2 linked regions of the Cricetulus griseus genome follow. The protein of the gene in region 2 purifies or fractionates together with the protein of the main gene of each other region. This does not show direct contact. Links are inferred from orthologs where the notes say so. Each region holds a gene or a part of one and is shown on either strand. Other genes may lie near its edges.

The links.
Region 1: the proteins of Tnks2 (region 2) and Rnf146 purify together in Homo sapiens (co-immunoprecipitation; 3 studies listed by BioGRID and IntAct, with this or other methods). This does not show direct contact. The link is inferred for Cricetulus griseus from reciprocal best matches to the Homo sapiens genes TNKS2 and RNF146.

The regions. Positions count from the first base shown.
Region 1 is NC_048595.1:247,887,166-247,890,192, reverse strand, and holds the end of Rnf146 (E3 ubiquitin-protein ligase RNF146), read left to right. Parts: intron 1-796; coding exon 797-1,871; 3' UTR 1,872-2,245; downstream 2,246-3,027. UniProt on the Homo sapiens protein: E3 ubiquitin-protein ligase that specifically binds poly-ADP-ribosylated (PARsylated) proteins and mediates their ubiquitination and subsequent degradation. May regulate many important biological processes, such as cell survival and DNA damage response.
Region 2 is NC_048596.1:24,894,888-24,898,717, forward strand, and holds part of Tnks2 (poly [ADP-ribose] polymerase tankyrase-2), read right to left. Parts: intron 2,875-3,830; coding exon 2,777-2,874; intron 1,463-2,776; coding exon 1,388-1,462; intron 14-1,387; coding exon 1-13. UniProt on the Homo sapiens protein: Poly-ADP-ribosyltransferase involved in various processes such as Wnt signaling pathway, telomere length and vesicle trafficking.

The sequences.
Region 1 (3,027 bases), on a different chromosome or scaffold from region 2:
CAGATCATTTGAGGCATCCTTAGAAACTTTAGATTATACTAAAATCAACCTTGTAAAGAAAGGAGTATGGGTGAATTAAAAGTATATATAGTGAATTAATAATCAATGTTTGATGACTTGAAAAAGAATGGGTAGTGGTACATGGATTTGGCAGATGGGATATGATATTAATATGACTTATCGATGTTTTGGATATAATGAGGCAAAAGGGTAGTTTAGGAGCTAAATTTCTGACTTACATAAACATCTAGAACCATAATCTAATTGCTAGTTAAAACAAAGGCTACAAATTGCTGTTGTCAGAGTCACAATTTGAAGGACCGAGCTATGTTTCTACTACATACTGAAGTTAATTTGGAGTAGGTGTCATGTTTTTAAATGCTACATTTAGTTCTGTCTTATAAATTCTGTGGCTGGGTAGAAACAATATTTAACATAAACTATATATGCCTTGCTTTATTTTTTGCTTAATAACTCTTCATTGGTTCCTGTAAATAAAAAGTGATGAGTTACAGCTACAAATAAAAGAGGGTGTTTACATATATTGAGTTTTTCCTGCTTTCACTTTCCCATCTTTTGTTTGAAATAGGGCATATGGAGCTCATGCTGGCTTTGAATTTGCTGGTCTCCGTTTTTATGTCTTCCTCCTATAGCTTGTGGTTTGCATGGAATAGGTACTTTGGGGGTATTTTCTGAACTCAAAGTGAATCAAGATATCAGAGAAGTTAAAAAAGAAAAAAAAAAGGTATCAGAGAAGTTTAAACCTGGTTTTACTTTTTTCTTCTCATTTTCCTAGGATGGCTGGCTGTGGTGAAATTGATCACTCGATAAATATGCTTCCTACAAATAAGAAGGCGAGCGAGTCCTGTTCCAATGCTGCACCTTCTCTATCAGTTCCCGAGTGTGCCATTTGTCTGCAAACATGTGTTCATCCAGTCAGTCTGCCCTGTAAGCATGTTTTCTGTTATCTCTGTGTAAAAGGCGCTTCATGGCTTGGGAAGCGATGTGCTCTTTGTCGACAAGAGATTCCTGAGGACTTCCTTGACAAGCCAACCTTGTTGTCACCAGAAGAACTTAAGGCGGCAAGTAGAGGAAATGGTGAATATGCGTGGTATTATGAAGGAAGAAACGGGTGGTGGCAGTATGATGAGCGCACTAGTCGGGAGCTGGAAGATGCTTTTTCCAAAGGTAAAAAGAACACGGAAATGTTAATTGCTGGGTTTCTGTATGTTGCTGATCTTGAAAACATGGTTCAGTATAGGAGAAATGAACACGGACGTCGCAGGAAGATTAAGCGAGATATAATAGATATACCAAAGAAGGGAGTAGCTGGACTTAGGCTGGACTGTGACACTAATACTGTAAATCTAGCAAGAGAGAGCTCTGCCGATGGTGCGGACAGTGTATCAGCGCAGACTGGAGCTTCTGTTCAGCTGCCAGTGCCATCTTCCTCAAGGCCCCTCACATCCGTTGATGGTCAGCTAACCAGCCCTGTAACACCATCCCCCGATGCAGGCACTTCTCTGGAAGACTCTTTTGCTCATTTACAACTCAGTGGAGACAGCATAGCTGAAAGGAGTCACAGAGGCGAAGGAGAAGAAGACCATGAATCACCACCTTCTGGCAGAGTGCCAGACACTTCTGTTGAAGAGACTGAATCGGATGCCAGCAGTGATAGTGAGGGCGCCCCTGTGGTGGTTGCACAGCACTCCTTGGCCCAACAGAGACTTTTGGTTTCAAATGCAAACCAGACAGTAGCTGACCGGTCAGACCGATCCGGGATTGACCGATCAGCAGCCGGGGCTGGAACCATGAGTGTCAATGTCAGGTCGAGAAGGCCTGATGGACAGTGCACAGTGACAGAGGTTTAAGTAAACGTCTTCAGTGCCACACTCAAGGGTGAAATGGATACCTGTAAATTTCTGCCCACATAACATTATACTCATCCTTAGTAGTGCATTGTGGGAGTTGGGGTGGGAAGGGATATGGGAAGGACAGACCTGAAATTAAAATGTCTAACATATCTCTGTTGAAATTTATTTAATGTGAGGAATTGGGGTGTTAATATTTGAGAGCTGTTCAGTAATAACACAGTTTTCTTGACATCTGTTTACTTTCTAGTGTATTTTTTTTCAGTCTTTTGTTCTTTTGGCCAGTGTGTACTTGTGCATTAATGGTCCTCATCTGACTCTTGCACAACTTTATTTTTCTGCATGGATTGGTATAAAATCATTACTAAAATTTGGCACCTGTGAGATATTTGATATCATTATGAGCAGGAAGCTTAATGTGGAAAATAGATGTGAATTTGGGATATAAAAATAGATGACTAACAACTACTTCATAGTTGGTCTCACTGAGATAGAAATGTAGAGCAGCAGCTGCTAAGTTCTTTCACAATCTGTAACACACTTCATGGTGTTCCTTTCCATAGGATTTGCTGTCTTGTCCTTGTACGTGGAGGGTTCTCTTAGTCTGCATTTTTTCTTTTTGATTAAAAAAACTTTATAATTTAATAAATACTAGAGTTTATCAAAAATAATTGTTTCTTGTTTGAGTTTGGAGATTGCTTCATAAGAAAAATTCACCGAGGTATTTTGTTTTTGTAAATTACATCAACTTAAGAAAGAACAAAATGGCCAGATGTAATAGTATATACTAGCATTTGGGAGATGGTGGAAGGGGGATTAGAAATTCAAGACTACCCTTGGCTGCATAATAAGTTTAAGACCCTGCCTTAAAATTTAAATTAATAAATATGTTACAAAAGATAAGCTCAAGAATAGATTTTCTGTTTGAAAATTGATCTTTGGCTCTAGGATAAGAATTACTGTAGGAATGTAGAAGTTGCTAGAAGTGATTTAAGCAAATGTTAAAAAAGAAAAACCAACAAATTGAGATATGAAAAATATCAACCAAACCAAATAAGCATATAAGCAGTCAACTTCAAATGAATTCTGCTGCTCATTTTTAATATAACTTCACTTCCATCCATGTTCTCATTGAAGCTTCAACTTGTAGTACTCC
Region 2 (3,830 bases):
AAACCTTCTGAATCTAAACACAAAAAAAATAAAAGTCAGCACTAAGTCACCACTGAAATCCCCCAGACATGCTAAATTTTGTACAGACTTTATCAGACTCAAAATACATAAACAAGGCAGCTGGAGAGATGGCTCGGTGGTTAAGAGCAGTCACTGCTTTTCCAGAGGACCTGGGTTCAATTCCCAGCACCCACATGGCAGCTCACAACTGTCTGTAATTTCAGTTCCAGGGGACCTGACATCCTAGGCAAAGCACCAATGCATATAAAATAAAAATTAATAAAAATAATACACAAACAAGATTTGAAATAGCCACCCACCACACATACCCCCACCTTCTTTCCTATCGTTTCCTTTCCCCTTGAGCTTCTACTGGAGTATTTCTATGGTCAAATGGACACTAAGTGCTTCAGCCTCTGTGATCCCTAGGAGCACACATCAGAGCTGCAGTTTTAGTATGGGGGGGGGGGAATCAAAGTACTGGTAACAGATGTAATCAAGGACAACACTTGGCACCAACTGACCTTATTCATGTATAAAATAGAACAAAAATAAAATCATTTTCGCATACACGCACGCACGCACGCACTCGCGCGCGCACACACACACACACACACACACAATTCAATGTTGTATTGAAACACCTTTAAGGAGGAGGAGGAAACAGCATGTTTTTCAATTTGAACACAGTAATTTATAAATCAGCTTCTCCTATTTCCTGCTTCACAAACATTATGTAAGTGCTCCCTTCTCTGAATAATCTAATTGTAGCAGACACAATCAAGCAAGTCAAGTAAACTTTAGTGCTCACTAGCCTAAAGGATGCATTCAGTTCAGGGCATACTGACACTGTTCTGTAAGTTTATTTTATTTTATTTTATTTATTATGTATACAACATTCTGCTTCCATGTATATCTGCACACCAGAAGAGGGCACCTGATCTCATAATGGATGGTTGTGAGCCACCATGTGGTTGCTGGGAATTGAATTCAGGACCTCTGGAAGAGCAATCAGTGCTCTTAACCTATGAGCCATTTCTCCAGCTCCCTTCTGTAAGTTTTTATAATTTTTATTTATTCATTTTTTTCAAGACAGGATTTCTCTGTGTAGCCTGGTTGTCATGGAACTTGCTCTGTAGGCCAGGCTGGCCTCAAATTAGAGATCAGCCTGCCTCTGCCTCCCAAGTGCTGACATTAAAAGGCTTGTGCCACTACTGACAGTCTAGAATTTTAAGTTTTGTAGGACAGTCTTCCCCCTCAATAGTTCCTGAAGCCATGTCAAAAAGCAAGGTGCTGGACAGATAGTATGTTCTTATCAAGACTACTTAAGGCTTTGGGTTGTGGAAAGTAACAGTCTTGGGAAACTTTATTTTCACTCATCTGTTACCTTGAGAATATTGTATCTGTTGAAGATGCCACCTGCATGACCTCCATCTCTGTGCTCTCGGACAGTACTTTGCATCTGATGAAAAGAATTTAAAACACAAATTAGTTTTGTCATTCTGATTTGTGGGAACATGGTTTTGATTCATTTGATCCTATTTTTTGAGAATTCAAGGTAGTTTTAATACTTTTCTTGAAAGGACATTAATTCTATAAACTCATGACTACATTTTTCTTCTTTCAAGACAGGTTTTCTCTGTGCAGGTCTGGCTGTCTTAGAACTCAATCTATAGACCAGGCTGGTTTCGAACTCAGACATCTGCCTGACTCTGCCTCTTGAGGGTTGGGATTACCATAAGTACTATGTTCTAGAGATGACTATTAAGCATCCTGAAAACATATTTATAGATGAAAAGTTACATAATGTAAACCAAGATAAAATGGAATGTAGAAATATGTTAAACATAAAAGCATGGTCTATTTGTGCTGATATTAAACTAATAAAGCACAATATATATTTTCTTGTGAGTATGATCTTTAGAACAAAATCTCACTGAATTTTGCATATGTGCTTAATTCAAACAGATGAGGCACATGTACATGAGAGTGTAATGACTCTTCAGTGAGGTGTGATGGCACACACCTTTAATCCAAGCACGAGGAGTCAGAGGAAGGTGGATCTCTGAGTTTGAGGCCAGCCTGGTCTAGAGAGTGAAAACCAGGACAGCTAAAGCTACATATTGTTTCAAAAGAATATGTAGCTACCTTGCTCCCCCTGCTCCCCCCCAAAATACATAGGAGGATAACTTTTCTAAGATTTCAGTGGATTGAAGAAATCTTTGAAAAGAAACCAGAATAAAAATTTCCCAGATAAATACTATCTACATGTTGAGTACTATCTGAGATTCCTCACTTTGTAATTGCCTTCATAAAGGGAGTGAATACTACCATTATTTTCAAATGACAGAGACCTTCTCCAACAGAATTTTGGTTTCTGGTTCCACATTAATGAAGCAGTTAGTGATCCAAGTATCTAAAACTAAGGTTAATTAAGAAATCCATTGAGCAGTGACTGCTCTTCCAGGACCCAGGTTCAATTCTGCAGCACCTATATGGCACCTTACAACTGTCTGTAACTCCAAGATCTGACACCTTTATATGAATACACATGCAGGTGAAGCATCCATGCAACATAAAAATAAAAATTAAAAAAGAAAGAAAAAAGGAGTGGGGGAAAAACCAAATGCATTGTAAATACTTCCAAATTCTCTAGTTGGTGAAAGAGGGACAAAAACCCAAACCAAAACAAACCAACAAAAAATGACAGCAACGGAATCAACCACATGAGTGGTTAGATCCATAATATCCATTTTCTTAAGCGTGATGAACATACCTCTTCCTCCACAGATTGAAACTCTTTATCATCCGGAGACAGATCTATGAGAATTGTTCCACTACCAGAGTTGTTTAGAGTTAAATATGGATTAAGACCTATGAAATAAAATTTAGAAGTAAAAATTGCCAATAAAACAATCCAATTCAACCAACCCCAAAACAATCACATGATTTATCCGACACTACCAATTCCCCAAAATCTTAATTTCATAAAAATTTGGATTTATAGGAATGCAAAGTGCAGACAGGGACATACTATAATTGTCAGAACTTACTAACATAGGCTTCATTTGGACTGCACTAGTTTTTCCTATCAATGCCCCTTTTCTTTTACTGGATAAAAATCATGGTATTTTTCAGTGTGCGTGTGCATGTGCCTATGTACACAGAGGCCAGAAGTCAGCATCAGAGTCTTCAGAGCCGAGTTAGAGATGATTGCCCAGCTTGTTATTGCTATGTGTGTTCTGAGATCTGAACTGTGGTTTTCATAATCCGGCAACAAGTACTCTTAACCACTACAGACTCATTTCATTTTGTGTGTATGTATGTTTGTCTGCATGTATGTATATGCACCATATGAATGCCTTCAGAGGCCCAAAAAGGGCCTGCTGGGGCTAGATTTATAGAGAGCTGCAAGCAAGTAGCTATGCGGGTACGGGACCCGAACCCTCATCTTCTACAAAATCATTACACCACTCTTACCTGCTGAGCCATCCCTCAAGTAACCCCCCCCCCATCCTGGAACTTGTTTTGGAGACCAGGCTGGCCTCAAACTCACCTGCTTCTGCCTCCTGAGCTCTGGGATAAAAGGCGTGGGCCAAAACATCCAGCTTAAGTGACTATTTTTTTGTTTTTAAAGACTTATTTATTTTTATGTGTGTTTTGCTTGTGTGTATGTCTGTGTAAGGGTGTCAGGTTCCCTGGAACAGTTGGGAGCTGCCATGTGGGTGCTAGGAATTGAACCTGGGTCCACTAGAAGAACAGCAGTGTTCTCAACCCCTGAGCTATTTTCTCCAGCCCATTTTTTAACCTGACAGGTTATAGTGATTTTA